Linked DNA regions of Arabidopsis thaliana. The protein of the gene in region 1 interacts with the protein of each later gene in a pairwise test. Each region holds a gene or a part of one and is shown on either strand. Other genes may lie near its edges.

What was found.
Region 2: the proteins of AT1G44000 (region 1) and NOL interact in a two-hybrid assay, tested with the Arabidopsis thaliana proteins (one study listed by BioGRID).

What each region holds. Positions count from the first base shown.
Region 1 is NC_003070.9:16,704,149-16,712,799, reverse strand, and holds AT1G44000 (STAY-GREEN-like protein), read left to right. Parts: upstream 1-3,086; 5' UTR 3,087-3,278; coding exon 3,279-3,464; intron 3,465-3,830; coding exon 3,831-4,175; intron 4,176-4,263; coding exon 4,264-4,410; intron 4,411-4,494; coding exon 4,495-4,599; 3' UTR 4,600-4,796; downstream 4,797-8,651. UniProt on the Arabidopsis thaliana protein: Magnesium chelatase involved in chlorophyll a degradation in the chlorophyll-protein complexes of photosystem I (PSI) and photosystem II (PSII). Contributes to the degradation of PSI and PSII in the thylakoid membranes.
Region 2 is NC_003076.8:1,428,636-1,438,713, reverse strand, and holds NOL (NYC1-like protein), read right to left. Parts: upstream 3,941-10,078; 5' UTR 3,889-3,940; coding exon 3,621-3,888; intron 3,502-3,620; coding exon 3,433-3,501; intron 3,302-3,432; coding exon 3,243-3,301; intron 3,147-3,242; coding exon 3,060-3,146; intron 2,922-3,059; coding exon 2,854-2,921; intron 2,767-2,853; coding exon 2,718-2,766; intron 2,631-2,717; coding exon 2,545-2,630; intron 2,439-2,544; coding exon 2,381-2,438; intron 2,296-2,380; coding exon 2,245-2,295; intron 2,057-2,244; coding exon 2,006-2,056; intron 1,931-2,005; coding exon 1,889-1,930; intron 1,792-1,888; coding exon 1,681-1,791; intron 1,568-1,680; coding exon 1,520-1,567; 3' UTR 1,219-1,519; downstream 1-1,218. Other genes in the region: AT5G04910 (DNA repair REX1-B protein), read right to left, coding at 1-213, 297-401, 489-582, 820-1,019; ABO6 (DEA(D/H)-box RNA helicase family protein), read right to left, coding at 4,198-4,677, 4,758-4,868, 4,963-5,115, 5,214-5,273, 5,365-5,673, 5,909-6,057, 6,163-6,232, 6,383-6,586 and 11 more. UniProt on the Arabidopsis thaliana protein: Required for chlorophyll b degradation. Chlorophyll b, chlorophyllide b, pheophorbide b and pheophytin b can be used as substrates. Belongs to the chlorophyll catabolic enzymes (CCEs).

The DNA.
Region 1 (8,651 bases):
TGTATGTAGTTATATTACTTATGTGTTTTGAAATTTGCCTAACTTATTTGTAACAAACAATTCTTTATTCCATATATTCTCTCATCATCTAGTACACAATCACATCATGATATGCTAGTAATTTAAGTCAACACTTTAATTCTCATCCCTACCATATAGTCATATAGAGTCTCATGTTATTGTTTTTTTGGTATGTCTAATGTCTTGGATGACTATTACGTGAAAAAATTGTATATCAATGTTATAAAGTTATCAGAACGCACAAAATTGTACAGAAAGAAGGTCATATGATAAATCAAATTCACAAAACATAATAATAATAAAATATCCAACTAAAATTACTAAATTAATATGAGGTTAGGTAGCAAACATGTAAACTACAACACAAGTAAATTTTTAGCCATTATGGATTATGACTATTGATAAAAAAAATTTAAATAAAATAAGTAGAATATAATGAAAGTAGTGCTTGGTACATTATTATGATTTTTTTCTTTATTGAATGTTTTTAGAAAATTCATTTAAGAGTGAGATTAATGGAGAATTTAATACAACAAAAGACTTTTGATTTTTTCTCAATTAGTTTTGCTAGTTTTTTAATTTAATTAATGTATAATGACACATGTCATTTTTTGTGTGATGAAGATAGTATGATGATTATGGTATGGTGATGATGGTGATGGTAATATGATATTATGAGATGGTAATGATGATGATGATATTGTGTTGATAATGAATAAATTGATGGGTTGGTGAAGCCATTTGTAAAAAGATTGATTATATTCAATTGATTTAGAGGTTTTGGTTAAACTCAAATTGATATCGATTTAGATATTTAAGTTGGATTAATTCAATTTAGCCAAAATTGGTGGGTTAAATGGGTAAACCATTAACCCATTGAAACCCAACTCATTTGATCCATCTAACCATTTGACCCAATAACTCATTTGAACTATCAATTCATTTGAGTGAAAAATTTCATCTCATTAGGGTTCATGGGTTGAGTTGAATTGGGTTGACCCATGAAACTTGATCCATTTTGACGTCCCTAATTCCATAGATAGAAGCATTAACCCACGTCTCACTACCAATTGATAATTTTTATTTTTTACTTTGATAAATGATAATACTTGAGATCAATATACTATTTTATCAATATATATATATATTTCTAACTTTCAATATATAACTTGAGAAGATTGTTTTCTCATACATATATAATTTTCTGTTGTTTTTAAATCATAAGAAAACTCTTCTTTTTCATTTTTATATAGCTTGTTAATATTTTTAATATATCCAATCATGCACTTTATGCATATAAACTGGGTTTAATAATGCCTCGCCAGCTTCTTTCTTTAAATAGATCCCATCTTCTCTTGCTCTCCAATCCCATAGGCCTCCTTGATCCCTCAAACTAAAAAGCTTGAATACTGTAAAGTTCTGATAGTGTATATAGTTAGGACCTTGTCTCAAAGTACACATAAAACGTGTTGAATGCCAAAAGTTAATATGGAAAATATTTTCATAATATTGTCGGTTTGGTATTATATTTGGACCTAATACATCATCTTTGGAATAACATCTCATCCAAAGATTTTTTTTGAATTTGAGTTCGTTCGAGATCCTGATCCCGGCGCCATACACATGACGAAGCATGCAAAGGCTAAAAACAAATAGAAAGACCGAGAGTTTTTTCATTTACTTTTTGACTTTTTGGTAGATGTTTCGTTCTTTGGTTGTTTTAACTTTGTTTTGGTGTTATTATATATATATATATATATAAATCTGTATTACTAATATTGACTTTAGATTTCCTTTAATATCAGTTCTAAGTTTTCACATATATGATATATGTCAACTATCATAATAATATAATATGCAAGATATTATACTATTAGAATCCAAATTTCTTATAATAATATTTTAGGTAAACATAAATCTATTTAAATTGAATTTTAAAGAAAAAATAATAAAATCAAGTAGCAATTACTGTATGTAAGATCAACTATAAGCCTTGAGAAAAGAACAAAAAAATAAGTTTTTCTAAAAAAATATACAATACTTGTTTATATTATTTTTTATTATTATAGAAAGTCCAAAACTCCAATTCCAAATAAATATATTCTCTAAATTATTATAGTATTATGCTTAAATGCTTTTTACCTTTTGCCATGTAACCATTGTATAGGTCTATAATTTTTCTATTGTAACCTAAGTTGTTTTCATTTTTAATGAAATACTAGATAATCACCCGCTCTACTACAAGAAAACACGGGTTTTCAAACTACAACATTAGTAGCAATATAGTCGTTAAAGTAGAAGTTACGACTATATTACGAGTAATAGCCTTAGTCGTTAATCCAGAGTCGCTAAACAAAATAGTCGTAACTTTAATCGCTAAATGACGACTACGATACGACTAATACCCGCTGTCATAACATTAGTCATATTGTACTCGTAAAATATAACGACTGAGTTACGATTGAATCACATGAATAACGAGTATCGTAGAGACTCCTCTGCGATTATTTAGCGACCACCTAGATGAAATTTTTTAAAATTAAATAAATAGAATAGAATGAAAGTTGTGCTTGGTACATTATTATAATTTTTATTTATTGAATGGTTTTAGAAAATTCATTTAAGAGTGAGATTAATGGAGAATTTAACACAACAAAAGACTTTTGTTTTTTTCTCAATTAGTTTTGCTAGTTTTTTAATTTAATTAATGTAGAATTACACTTGTCATTTTCTTGTGTGATGATGTGTCACTCATATGGAGAGTATTAGCCAACTTTCATATATATGATCCCCCTAATGAACTTTTTTTGTAAATATAAATAAACTTGGTTATACACCAATGATATGTATCATATAGTTTGGTATTTGGTACCTTTGCAAACTTGTATAATAAAATTATACAATTCATTTTATATTAACTTGGACTCTAATATTGAAGCCACCATAGCTCATTATCTATAGATATGAAAAAAACAAAAGGACTTGCTGACGTGGAACAACTCTCAACTCCATCCACCAATCACAATATTTCGATATAAATAAATAATATCACGAAATCCAAAATCAATTTGCAAAATCGAATTTGTGTGGAGAAAGAAGCTCGTCACCAAGACTGAATTTGTGGCTACGTCTAAAACACATTCTTCCACATCTCTTCTCTGTTTCTCAAGACAAAAAAAGAAAAAATGGTGGAAGATGAACAATGACGAAGAATCATTGTTATTGTTCATGCATTAACCTTGTTGTTATGTTCCTCCATGGCCTGTTACATCGTTCCTTATTACCACCATCCTGTTTTGTCTCATCCCAATAGAGAAATCTTCAGTCACCGTCACCACCACCACCACCGTTTCTGCAACAATCTCTTGAATAGAAGAATTAGTGTTCCTCGAAGCTCCGCTATTAGTGACGGTGGTGTCTCCTACAATACTCTAGTCTCCGAGGTAAGCCAAGTTTCAGGGCAAATTTTCTAATTCATCTTGATTTTTAGTAGATTTGTGTAGTTTATGATCATAATTGAATTGGGTCTGGCTTTAATTTTGAATTTGAGGTCTTGAAAATGCAAAAAGATCGAACTTTACAATACTCTAGTCTCCGAGGTAAGCCAAATTTTAGGGTTAATTCGTTTTAATCCTCATTGATATTTTTTTAGTAAAGGTTGTAGATTTCTGTTGTTTATAACCATAATTGAATTGGGTCTAGCTTTAATTTTGAATTTGAGGTCTTGAAAATGCAAAAAAGATCAAAATTTGATTACATGTTTAAGTAGTGGAGTTAGTTGATAATGTGAATGTTGATGGTGTTATTAGGCGGTGAGGCTTTTGGTTCCACAAGCAAACTTTGATTCTTCAAAGCTTAAAGTTGAGTTCTTAGGAGAGTTATTGGAGAACAAGAGTAACGGAGGAATTATTACGCCGCGGACTTATATTCTTTCGCATTGTGACTTCACTGCTAACTTAACGTTAACAATCTCAAACGTTATCAATCTGGATCAACTAGAAGGCTGGTACAAGAAAGATGATGTGGTTGCTGAGTGGAAGAAGGTGAATGATGAGCTGCGTTTACATATTCATTGTTGTGTGAGTGGTATGAGTTTATTGCAGGATGTTGCTGCTGAGCTTAGGTATCATATTTTCTCCAAGGAATTGCCTTTGGTTAGTCTTCTTCATCTTTTGTCTATTTGGTTCTTAATGAATGTGAAAATGACTATCTAATAACTCTTTGGTGTTGTGTTTGAGATAGGTACTTAAAGCTGTGGTGCATGGAGATTCAGTTATGTTTAGAGAGAATCCTGAGCTAATGGATGCTTATGTATGGGTTTATTTCCATTCAAGCACACCTAAGTACAATCGGATCGAGTGTTGGGGACCTCTTAAGGATGCTGCGAAGGTATGATCTAATTCGCGCTGGCTCGGCTTATTGTTTGTCCTTTTTATGGAAATGTGAAATCTTTGTGTGTTTTTGGTGGTGAAGGGAAAGCAGCAGGGCAATCATCAAGGCTTCTTGAGTTCGACGACTTCGAGGAAATTGATTCGACATAAGTCTATCTTCCATACCTTATTTACGTTTCTTCTGTGAGACAAAGTTGTACATTCTCCTGTGTTTTTTTTTGCAAATGATGTAGATTTCTTAATGAGCATCTGACACAAGTGCAATTTGCCAACATTCAAATGTTCATACTTGGGAAATTTATGAGAGCCTAGTTTTCTTTATGCTTCTTCAATATTAGTTGTATTGTAGCTCAAATTGAAATCCATTGGTGAGAACATTTCAGACAAGCAGGTCACATAAAGTGGGAGAGTCAAAGTTGTGGGAATTCCTTGCTCTAACCATCAGTTCAAGACTGTTAAAAGTAAATTCTTCTAAAAGAGAGACAATTGTTGGATGATAAACTTAAAAGTCCGAATTATGCAAGTCAATCCCACAATCTCAAAAGTCACCCGCAATACAACTCTCCCGTATAACGATGATGTGACACTCAATAACTCTTTTTAAAAACATAAGAGTTTTATGAAAAAAACTCTCAATTTTTTTTTTTTTTGCAAGACAAACCTTCATATCTAATAAATACAGGTCAAACCACAATCTAAAAAATATCTTGCAACATAGCCCTTCCGTGTATTGATAACGTGACAGTCGATAACTCATTTTTGAATCGATAACCGTAACTAACCAAATTTTTTTCAGATTCGTTTTTCTTTCTTTCAAAATTAACTAAAATTAACCAAATTTAACCAAATTTAACCAAACTTAACAAAAAAAATACAAAGAGGAAAATATTAGAAAAGAAAATTAAAATTTTGGTTCTATTTTATAAAAGAGTATTTAATTTTCACAAATATAACTAACAATATTTGGATATTTTGATTATTTAAAGTATTTGATTGTTTTGGTTCTAAAAATAATTAATATTTTAAGTTTAGAATTATAGTTATAGGTACTAATTTTGGATATTTACTAAGTTTCTGGATATTTCGGTTAATTGTTTGGCTATCAGTTCAATTTTATTTTATTTAAAACTTAAATCAATAACTCTATTAAATTATATGCATTAAAGTAATATATTCGATAGACTTATAAATTATATGCATTAAAGTAATGAGTTATCGACTGTCACGTCATCGATACACGAAATGGCTATGTTGCAAGAGATTTTTCAGATTGTGGTTTGACCTGTATTTATTTGACATGGAGGTTTGTCTTGCAAAAGAAAATTAAATTGAGGGTTTTTTTGCACAAAACCCAAAAGAGTAATTGAGGTCCACGTCATCGGTACACGAGAGGGCTGTATTGCGGGTGACTTTTGAGGTTGTGGGATTGACTTGCATATTTCGGACTTGGAGGGTAAACTTGCAAACGAGATTTACTTGAATGGTTATTTTGCAGAAAACTCTAAGATTAACAATACAAAATTTTCACTTTAAGAATTGATTTTACGTCTTAGCTCAAAATACAGGAGTACTTAATTAAGATAAATTGATCCTATTTGAAAAGGGAAAATGTCAGAACAAATCGTGAACTTTCAAATTTGGGACGAAAATGCAAGAACTTTCGAAATATTATTTAAGTCACAAAGTTTCGTTTGTTTTTTACTTAATAAAAATTGTTAAATATCGTTGACTTGGCCATTTTGGGCACGTCGTTAAATTCAGATTAACAGAGTTAATCTTCTGTTAAATCGAAATGACGTCATTTTTAAAGCTCCAAAACGACGTTATTTCATTAGAAAATAATGATGCAAGATTGGCGTCCACATGGAATTAAACATATAACCTATTGGACTCATAAGGAACAATCTACCGCTGATTTACGGTAGTAATTTACAATAATAGCAAACATTGCATACATATACTAACAAATAATAATATACTATTAATTGAAAATATATGCAAGAAATTTAAAATAACAAAATTAAAAAATAAAAATATTAAATAAACTAACCCTTATATATTTTTAAATTTTTCAAACATTTAATTTTATATAAATAAAGACTTCTATTTGAAAAATTATAGATCTCTTTAGAATTCACATAAGTCTTTGCAATTGTATTTTTGGAATAAATAAAAACTGAAAAACTGAAAATTTAAAATAATTCGCATAAGTCTTTTCTATTGTATTTTCTATATTTGGAATACAGAAAAACTGAAAATTATAAATAATTTCTCAAATATAAAAAACATATATATCGAAAATTAAATATTTAAATTTTCAAAATATATATGTATGGTAAGTGTATTTAATATTTGTATATATTTGTTTTTTTGTAGTTTTCTAATTTTTAATTTATTGCATATATTTTCAATTAATGGTGTAGTTTTATTTGTTAGTATATATATCCATTTATCCGGTTCCAGAATATCTTCGCTTTAGGAAATATTTCTTATTCTTCGGGGACTTCGAGAATTTTTCCTGATTTCAGATTATCCTCAAAGATCCTTCCTTATCATTTATGAGAATCTCGGAAATGATCCCGTTTTTCTGGAAGTGATCCTTTGAGCGTGATTAGATTTTAAAAGGCTTTGTCTCGCGTATTCTTGAGGTTTCCCCACGGAGTACTTCTTCGCAGTTCAGTGATTGTTCATGAGGTGGCTTCAGGGTAACCGGTACACTTTGGCTTGGGGCACGGTGATGACTATCCCTCGTGCTCAAGTGACTATCTCCCGAGGCGATATAGGCGGTCCTCGAAGCGTTCTCACAATCGGCTTGGTTTGTGTTTCTAAGATTAACTCCCGAGCCGTTTTACGGACTTACTCCCGAGGTGCTTTGTGATTGGGCTCGGGTTCAATCATCTTTTTAACCCCGAGGTGACCATTGATCTTCGTTATTTGTCTCGGTCTCATTCGTGAGGGAACCCGACCCAAACATAAGATTATTTCAAAGATCCTTTGTCAAAGACTTAAGATGGTCCTTGATGTGTGCTTTATTTCACTTTAGATTTTTACCTAAAAAATCACACTTTATTGCAAGTGCACAATAATCAGTAGTAGTATTTTAGGATTAGCTACAGAGTATTGAATTCAAAGAAGGAGATATGGCTAAGACAACACTGAACTTGAGGGTTTTGGTTTTGGGTTTCCTAATAACTAACACAATGAAAGTGAATGAAAGCAAAGTAAATGACGGTTGTGAAGTATGAGATTAAGACTTTGGGCTGTTCTTAGGGTTCTCACGGTATCATAGTTCTCGACAAACTAAGGTAAGGATCTCTTAAGTTTCTATTTATTCGTTCTAGTTCATAACTATGAAAGACGAATGAACGAATTAGCCTAGGTCATAGGACTAACCGGTAAATTTCCCTACACTCTATTACTCAACTTGTGTAGGCATGGAATCATAGTTCGACGCATTAGGATCAGATTAGAATTCAAAGAAGGAGATATGGCTAAGACAAAATTTAAGTTAGGGGTTTTGATAACATGCTATTTTCGCTCATATTTGCTATTGTTTTCTTATGGTTTAGGAAGTGTTTGGTGTGACTCCAAGGCCAAAGAAATGATATTCAAGTATTTTTGGAGTCAAGAAGGCTTTAGGAGTTTGACGGCAAAATGGACCAAAAGACGAGGAACATACGTTTTAGGACAGAATTAGCAACTGGGAAGTTGAAAGTTCATGTTAGAGGTTTGTATAATGATATATTTGTAAGACACTACTTGATATATGAGATGTTCTTATAGTTAACATGATTCTGGTTTTTAGATTTAGATGGGAATATTACAGAAGAAAATGTCTCAAGAGAGCAAGTGTGGAGCATTCAAAATCGTCGTGTCATAGTTGATTTCAATAGGAAAGGACAACCTATCAAAGATTTAGGTGGTTTGTTGAGTTCATGGTTAGGATCCTTCAGCTATGATCTTAATGTCTTGCCTATAAATTACACGGATTGGAGAAAAGTTCCTCGCTATATGAAAGAGATGGCATGGCAAATGATTCAAGTATTGTATATTACATTCTGTCATATAAACAAGGATGGTTTTTATTGTACTTTTCTTTAAACCAATAGTTTTTTGTTTGAATATAGAGAAAATTCTGGTTTGAGACCTAATTAGGAGGAAAAAATATGTGATATCTACTTTAGGGAACAAATGTAAAGATTTAAAGCAGCGTCTTTGGAGGAGTCACAGAAAAAAAAA
Region 2 (10,078 bases), on another chromosome or scaffold:
GCTAGTCACAGCATCTTGCACTCCTCTAATGGCCTCCTTCAAAGCGTTATCAAACTCTGCATCTGCTTCTGCTTCCTCTGTTCCTGCAGCTTCAGTAATCTCATGAAGATGCACGCACTCGTGTTGCATAGGCTTCTTGAATTTGCAGTTCTCATGTGTCAGCATTCGTTCTGACGGTCTTCCTGCCTTCTTCAGTACCTGTATTGTAACAGTCTGCGAAAAAAGTGAACTAAAGTAAGATTCTTACTTTTGTTCAACCGTTGAGATATCTAGATTAGAGTAAATGGGTATGAAACCAGATGCAATTTCTGCTTCTCTTGAGTTTGAATGTCGCTGAGAAGTTTAGCAAGATCAGCTCTTCCAACTTCTGGATTTAGAAACAGAGATTCCATTTCGCGCACCTGTCATCAAAGGGCTCAATCTTTAACAACACAAGGTTGAACAACACTGTGAAGGTGTAATCAAATACTCTCAGATAAGATCCATACTTGTTTCGAACATTCACTGAACTCCGTTGTAATCTCGCTGCACAGCTTCTGATAAAGTGCTTCAGCACCAGACTCCACATACTCTGAGAATCCACTGATAATTGAATTCGAAAACATAGTCAGCTCAGATTAATAGAGGAAGATCTCAGTAACAAAAACATGGAAATCTACGAATATAAAAAACATCTCCCTCTCTATCCTTCACACTATTTGCCTCAATTTCAACATTCACCAACAAAGTCTAACTCTCAGGCAATGGATCAATTGGAACTTAACAAAACCGCAACAAATAAACTAACTCTTTGAGAGATTTCCAATGAATCAATCGAACCTTTTGAGATTGGCGTAAGCCTGAGCTCGGCGCTGCTGAATCTCCAACAGACTCCGAAGCAGGACCAGGGTTTGAGAGGCGACGCCGGAGCCCACCGTCGAACTAGTAGACCCGACACCGGAACCGCCGCATTCGTTCTCAATATCGCCGGAGAGGGAATCTCTGAGGGAAACCTTCTTCTGGAAATCTTCGGCACTCATCGTCCGATCTTTCTCTCCGACTCTTTTCGTCTTCTCAAACACGACAGAGAGAGAGAGACGAAGAAGCAAAGAGAAAGTTGCGAACTAACCGGTTTAGTCGATTTTACTAAATTGAACCGTAATTTGATTTTAATCGCTTTGATATCAAGTCCGGTTGAGGCGGTTCTTCGGTTTTACCCGGTTTGATTGGTTTGGAATGACATTTTTGCTGCTTGTTAAATTGTAAACTAGACCACAGGCATTTGGATCCCAGTCTCGACAAATCTGGTCTGATTCTCAAAATAGTGCCTATAAATTATTATGGTTGGAAAAAAAAAACTGACTTTTAAATCATCACTTCAATCATTAACTGAGAAATCTCACATTTTTGCAAATGAGCTTAAATCCAAATTGTACAATAGATTGCATGTTTTGGAGTTGTCATGAACAAAATGTAGAGGTTTTTATTTACCATTGAACAAACTGAGAAAGCAATACAATTCTAATACTTAGTTTGACACCTACTCTTCAGTAACATACCTGTTCTTCCTTGCTCCCAACGCAACTCTCTGAAACAAATTCCCAAAATTTGACAAAGAAAAAAACAAATTGGTTAAGTAATTTGCAGAAATAGTTTACATGCTTTGATTTACTTCTACGCAGAGCTATTAATCGTCTTAACTGAGAATATTTTGGTGTAGGCTTTGATTCCAGTTAGGAAACGGATGTAAGTCGGCTTCATAGATCCGCTAGCCGGTATTGCCCTTATGTTTGGGACAAGGTACTCAGCCACCTGCAAACGAATGTGTGATCATGAATCATGGGGCTAGAGATTAGAGATCGTGTCAAATTGTTGTGCTAAAAAGAATTAAGAGTTAATGGGTTCTTACCACTTCGGCTGGCTCTGCCAAAACATTAATGAAGAACTTGGCCTGCAATAGAGAACGTATTAGAGAGAATCTCTTGAAATGGAATCTAAATATTTCCTCAGTGTTAAGTCATCGAACTTGTTTTGTAGTTGCTCCGGACATGAGCAGATCAGTTGTGACCATTCCAGGCTGCAACAATAATCCAGAGAAAACACATTAGAATTATGATCATGTTTAGATCCTGAATTCATTCAAATTGTTCAAATAACTATAATCCATCCATTCTATTCATCTCTATGCGCATGTCTGTATCAGTGTATTTAGGAAGACACTAAAAACAACCAAAAATGAAATGAAGCAATATATTGTATTCATACCGATAGATTATGCACCACGACATTTTTGACATCTTGCATCTGCAACTCTGCCTATGAAAGACAGGAATTACTAGAGAAGTCATATAAGGAGAAGGGAAAACGAAGAAGAGTTCAACAGATATAACTCTGGCATTACCTGTAATGACTTTGTCAGGTGAACGACACTCCGTTTAGTTGCACCATATGCAGCAAATCTGTCAAACGTTAATCAAAAAAATGCTATTAGACAGTACAGAGAAGAGAGCCTAAAGGAGATTTACTAAAGCATGTTCCCAAGAAACTTTAATGAATCTAGCAAACCTGGGTGTTGGTCTCCCATCTGAACCAGCTCCATCAATATTGAAGATATGACCACCTCGAGATTGGGTCAACATCATATTCATTGCCTAATAATCATGAACACATGTCAGTAAATCCAACTGATAATAACAAAAGACACGCTGAATTCATCTCCTTATAACATCTTTGACTACCTCTCGGCAACATAACATGAGACCTAGAGTGTTGGTTTTCACAACTTCACTGCATAAAGATTTCAAAAAGTAAATGACTGAAACCAATCACATAGAAACTAACGAAGAGAAGGATCAAGCTTAACACAAGACTTACATAAGATCCTCATCTGAGGCCTCTGCCAAAGGTTTAAAGCTATATGCATTAGATCCCGCATTATTTATCTGTATCATCTCAAGATGGTATTATAAGACTATTTCTATGGTTACAAAATTGAAAAGAAAACATAGTAAAATACTCTGAACAACATTAACACAGATGTCACCAACAAATGAACGTTCTTCATAGTTTTGAGAGTGTACCCAAATGTCAATGTATTTAAGATTCTTCTGACTATAAGCTACAAGTTCCCTCACATCCTTCCCTTCCGTAACATCACACTTAGTTCCCTACTAAGAGAAAATGGTTTCATGATATCAATGCACATAAAGCAAAAACCTTGGAAGACCACACGAATGGAAAAGAACAGTAAAAGAAGGCGGTACCCACACATGCTCCCCAAATTCTTCCTTAAGACTCTGAACAGCAGTCTCAACTCGTTCAGCTGCAAGACAGGAACAGCCATAACAGCAAAATTCTACTGAAGATTGGTTCTATTACTTGCTTGCATGTTTCCTTACAGACACACAAACTCTAGAAAAGGAGTTCAAGACAACAATGGGGACAGGTTCTAACCTGATCTAGAGCAAATCACAACATTGTCGCCTGCTTTCAGAAACTCTCTAGCTAATGCATATCCTATACCTGAACAATCAATAAATCAAAAACCACTCTTTAGAGACACAATGAGATAAAAAAATATGTTTTTTCCCTTCTGAAGATTAAAAACTCGAGTCAATTGACAAAGACAGAGTGAATGAAACCTTTGGTTGAGCCAGTGATCAATATGTTATACGGAGGCGTCATAGGTTCTCTTTTCCCTGAGATACGAGCTTCCACCGCCGCAGACGACGGAGTAACCGTGAGGTTTTGGCGCGTAACAACGACAGTTGCGAGACCAAAGCGTTCTGCCAGTAACCGACGCCGGCAAATAGGAGAGAGAAACGGAAGCTTAGTGACATTTGAGACGGAGGAAGACCGAAGCCTAAGCAACGGAGAAGAAGAGACGTTGAAACCACTCCAAGTAGCCATTACAGAAGCTCAAAGAGAGAGAGAGAGAGAGTTGCGTAAGCGAGCAAGCTCAGAGAGAGTTAAATGCCACGTGGCGGCATATAAGATGATAATAACCCCAATTATTGTTCAAAATACATCATAGCCCCTAAAGTTTCTAGATTTTATGTTTATAACCCTACACTATTGTTCTGCCCCAAAAACGACACTATAGTTACATAGTGACTACTGAAGTATAATTTCTCTATCTGCTTTGGTTGGTATTTGAGATCGTCCAAAGCACAGTTACACAAACCAAATCTGTCTGCGAAAAAACCTACAGAGATTCAATTACTTGCCCTTGGATCGCCTGCGCCGTCCTCCAAGGAGTTTAAGCATGTTATCAGTAACATCAGGTGGAGAATCTGCATCCTCATTGTGTTGGCCAGTACTATTATCAGAGGTATGAGTCAACCAAGCTAAGGCCTCAACAGCAGCATCTTTCTCAGCGAGCGTTTTATTCCTCTGAGGCTTCCCAACGAACTGCATTCCTTTAAACTCCACAAGTGCTCTGAATTCGTTTGTCTTGAGATGTTTTGTCTTGTACTTTGGAGGTGAGTGTCCAGCTCTCATCAAAAGTGTCTGAAGGAGACTCTTCGGGTTTGTCCCGTCTTTGGAGTGTTTGTTCTCTCCTATTTGCGGTTGGCTTGGCCTCTTTGTGTCACGGCCAAAGACAAATCTGCCTTCGCATTGGTCTCCAGCCACAAGTTCTTGAACTGCAAGCATGAGGTACTTGCCTTCTTTGTGGATGTCCATGCTTGGATCTTCAAGCTGCAAATCGTAAAGATACTAAAGGTGTTAAAGTGCTGCACTACGAACACTTTTTCCTTTTAAAATTGAAAAAAACTCGCCTTTTTTTGAAGAAGCTTATCGAGTTCTTCCTTCAGCTTTACATAGGACTCAGCCAAATTTGGATCCATGAAGAAATCAATGTACCCGTCAAGCATTTTTAGATGTCCCACCTGGAAACAACACAACATTCAATCCATTCGATTCCGGAGTATTCCATAATCTGACTAGTGTAAGGGTTAAAAAGAGGAAAATGAGAGAAATCACCTGTACTCCCGTGCTCAATGAACCACCAAAAAGGATCAAACTGGAATCAGGGACACCAGTGGAGTCCCGTATGAGTACCGCATTGACCTTTACTTTCTCTCCAAAGACTAGCCAAGGGTATGGAATTGTTGGGAACCGCGAATTAACAGAATTCTGAAACATAGAAACCGTAAAAACCATTTAAATAAAAAAGATGGCCATATCGAGAGACTCAAGTAATGATGTTGGGAAATACGAATGAAGAGGCTCACCGCGTATAGTGATACTTGGCCATCATCCATTGTCTTGAATGACATGGAAGTCTCTCTGTGCTGTGCAAAGAAAAAGGACAACAAGGTTATTTCACCGAAATCTCTGACACGAGAAAGGAGACTTAGCCAGAGACATGGGTCTTAGACTTACCACAACAGATGCTATTCCAGGGAATAGGCCAGAGCAAATGACAGCACGAACCAGAGACTGGTTGTGACTTAGCTTGTTGTTGAGAGCTAAATCATCATGAACTAAGCCAGCTTCTTTCAAAATATAGTTGAACTGCTTCCTCAGAGAATGTATCGCCTGAAGCGTCTGAGCTGACAGGAAATTCCTCCAACAAAACTCATAAGCCGATCCTTCTCTTTCAGCATCTTTCCACCCTTCAAAGGCACGAACGAGTGCCATATGGTCACTGTAGTCTTTGGCTGAGAATCTCAACTTGGCTGATAAAGCTAACTAAAATAAAACAAGGAAATCATCTCTCAGTTTGAGAGATTAAACCACAACATACTTCATAAAAAGTTATATATCCATCTATCTATTGGCTTAAAACCGCCTATAAAAACCCACTCTTCAATAAAATTCAAAAGACCAAAAAGTAAGTTTTAAAAACATTTATTTGCCAATTAATCAACCAATCACCGTACATCATGATAAAAATAAATGTTCGTCCATGAGTCCTTATACTTACGTCTTTTTTGTCTTGAGGTAGAAGGAAAGGATCTCTGACACTTAGCCCTGATACAATTGTCAGGATCGGATCAAAGCAGCGGAAGATGGCACCCATTATCAGCATTTTCCCCAACTTGGGATCAACAGGAAGAATCGATAAGAGTTTTCCTAGTTGGAACAGGCCAAAAATACAACAAGCAGGAAAGTCAGTCATGATACATGTAGTATAAGAAAGAGTTGGACCATTTTTTGTACAGGACTTAGAACACAAACCAAGATCCGTTAGATTTTCCTTCTCATCCAGTGCTCCGATCATTTTCAGGAATCCAATAGCATTTTGAACCTGTCATGATATTTACAGTTATGTTGACTAATTTTGAGACAATAAGAATCATATCTTCCACATACAAAAAAATCTGATAATCAATCAAAGATGTTACTAGTAACATGGAAATTGGCGAAATCTCTATGAACACATTTATCTGTCACTTACAGCCAAAGACTCTGGAGCCTGAAGTGCAGCTGACAAGAATTCTGCAATGCTTTCAACCTGAAGACTTTTAATTTGCAGGCAGAGAGAGTTTAAAGGAGTTCTCAGAAGTTCAGGAAGTTGATACTCTGCAAAAGCATCATAGACGCATTTGGGGTACAGGTGATAGCATTCTCCCGGAAACAGACGCCCAGCTCTTCCCCTTCTCTGAAGGCCAAATAGAGGGGAAATGTTGGACATACCAAATGAGAAAGCTTTATAGCTATCAAAAGATGTACCAGATAGCAAAATGGATGTTCTGAAATTGCAACAATGATAATCATGCAATCAAATCATATAGAGGAGTCAATGTTCTGAAATCAAAAATAAGAACGATGCAAAACACAAGAAAGATCTATTTACAACAATAGGTTTTAGTATAATGTATTCACCTGTCTCGCAGAAGCTTGAGATATCCAAGAAGGTAGCAGACAAGGTGTATTGTTCAAAGCATCATAGGTGGTCTCTTTTGCTTTTCCACAGTCAACCACAAACACTACATCGTTTATTGTAATACTAGCTTCTGCCATGTTTGTAGCAAGAACAATTTTGCGAATATTAGGAGGTGCTCTCTCAAAAATGAGTCTCTGCGTAAACATCAACGAAATATGTTAAATAAGTTACAATTAGTACTTCTCCAGAGTCGTGACTCAAATTGAAAGGAAACAAAGTAACACGTGAGGATATAAATCAACCTGCTCAGCAGTTGCCATTGAACCGTGGCACATTAATAGCAAAACCCTGTTCGGATCTCCCAAGAGAGGATGGGCTTTAATTTGGTCGCTCAGGGATCTGATATCATCCCATCCTGTCAAAAATACTAATACAGCACCTGGACGTTCTTTTCGGCATATGTGACAGAGAACAGCCTCAATGAGATTAAATCCTATGCAGTCAGGCATCCAAGACGAAAGAGAATCACGTGTCCTAGAGTTATAGCTTTCAAAATTTGACTTGCTGAGAGCTTCCTGCAATTTTAAAGAAACAATGGTGAACAATGTTATTGGAATATTTGGTCTGCTCAGCAAACCTAGTTGACCAACAGAAACACAGTTAGTTAAACTTGCAAATTAGAGTTAATTCTAAGGAATTTCCAGTTGATGTAAAAAATTAGCCAAGTACCTCAACAAGAGTAGTGATCTGGTTTTTTCTTTTGCGAGGCATTAACTGTTTTTGCGTTTTCCACGTCTTTTCTTGGCCATAATCATCAACTTGATTAAAAGAGGTCAGCTTATATCCCGTTATTTCCAGTACATCCTCCAAAAAATGTGCTTTCACTGGATGTGTGAAGCCCTGAAAATATATATACATTCAAGGCTTCCCATAGAAACAACTCGAAACACGGAAATCATGCTGAATATCTAGAGTGTCAAGACTATTGAGGAAGAACATTGTCTTACAGGAATGTGAATGGTAGGTGCCCCTCCATAGTAATTAGAAAAGAGTTCAGCATTCAAAGTGGCACTCATGAGAACCAATCTCAGATCTGGACGCCGTGGAAGAAGCTCCTTTAACACTATAATTAAGAAATCTGCAACCAAGAAGTGAGGGGCATATTATTATGAGACTCTATTTGCAGAAACCTAAACATACATTAGATATATAGATATGTACCTTCATTCATGCCCCTTTCATGAATCTCATCAACAAAAACATGTGTAACTCCATTCAAATTGCGATCACTAAGCAGCCGTCTGAGAAGGATACCACTTGTACAAAATAGAAGGTGGGTATTCTTTCCTCTCATTCCTTCTAGACGAACTTTAAACCCAACCTATCGGAAATTCTCTGTTAGGTATGAAGTCATGAATAAACAAGCATCTTTTAACAAAGTATTAGTGTTAATTGGAGTAATCAGACAGCTTTTGAATCGATGCTCAATTGAAGGACAAGGATTTTGGCTAACCGTTTCACCAAGAGGTTCTCCTCTTTCAGCTGACACTCTTTCTGAAACTGCCATGGCAGATATTCTCCTAGGTTGAGTACAAATGATGTTGCAGAATGCTCCCCGACCAGACTCTATCTCTGATTCCAAAATGTATTGTGGAAGCTGAGTTGTCTTACCACATCCAGTCTCCCCAGATACAACTATCACCTGAGAATTTGAGAGTTGAGATCAAAAAATTAATTTCCATGCATTGCTGCATTGCGAAGATATCCCGCTCTAAAATTCACCTGGTTCCGAGCAATAGCTTGAAGAAGTCTTTCTTTGTCCTTGAATGAAGGCAAAGTTTTCCTGAATTCCAGCATCGTCCGTCCCTCAGGGGATTCCTATTATTCAACCAAATAACTACTGCTATAGCAGAAAGTTTTTGATAAAAAGACAAGAGGCGTGGGGTAAAGATGATTGAGTAATACCTGCCAGGTTCTCTGCATATTGCGCATCCGCATACTCCTCCTCTGAAGTACCTTCTCCATAACAGAACCATCGAGAAACGAATCAGAATTTTCATCGGGAAGTTCTTCAGTCTGTTTAGGAGGTTGAGAATCAGCTACGCATTCATTAGCCTTTCCTGAGCTTAGCTGCTGACTATCAAGATGTTCCTGGAGGAGTCCCTCTACCCTTCTTTGCAAACTCAACGGAAGCACCACCTGCACGATGAGATGCATTACAATTTCAGCATAAAACTACAAATAAAAACTGTGCATTATGATTTTGGTAAACCAAGGGAGACACTGTTACCTCCCGTTGTGGTCGCTTATCATCCAAATCTGGTCGGTAGTTAGGAAGAGGAACCTTGCTTGCAACAACCACTTTTCCATAAATTTCACTGTTAAATTGGAACCAAGAATTGGGTTAGCACATAGCGCACACAAACACATAGGGTTATTTGATTCCAATAAAAGTCAGTTTTCTATACCTGTAAAGTCCCATTCTCTTAGCAAGATTTGAGATCTGCTCATAATCTCTTCGATCCCTTTTGTCTCTGGAAACAATTTCTTGTTCACTATCATTGGCCAACAAAATTCCTAACTTCCACTTCCACTCATCAACATTGGCCACAGAAGATGAAGCCTATAAAACCAATTCACGCCTAGGATCAAATCATTTCCCAAGTATAAAGGATCAAACAGAAAATGTTCAAAGACTCTCATTTACATAGTCATTCCACCAAACAATCTAATCGACAAACACCTAAAAATTCCATTTTGAGAAACTTTTTACTCTGGAGATCAACACAAATGTTGATTGATTGATTCCATTTATCTAAACAATTTAGCATCATGAACAAAACACGAACCTTATGTTCCTCGAATTCACACTCGTACTCATCATCCGAGAACTGTTCCGCAGTGTGCCCGATGAAACGACGACGTATCGGGTAGTACAATCCCGTAACACCATCACCATTACGACTCGAAATCAGAAACGCCGGAGAACTAGTAGAGACCGGACCAACGATATAAGACCTGCATAAAGTCGGATTTCCCAATAGAGAGCGACTATGAATCCTGGTCGTCTGCCCCAAGAAGAGGCTTATTCTTTTTGTGAAACGCATTCTAGAAAACGAAATGAGCGAAGAGGCATGGTTCTCAACCTCGCCGCCTTCACCGTTCACTTCTCGTTCTCCGGTAAAGGAAGTTACTTTCTGCTTCTCTCAGTTCCCAATTCAACTGGGTTCTCTCCTATACACAGATTTTTGGTCAGACAAGATCGAT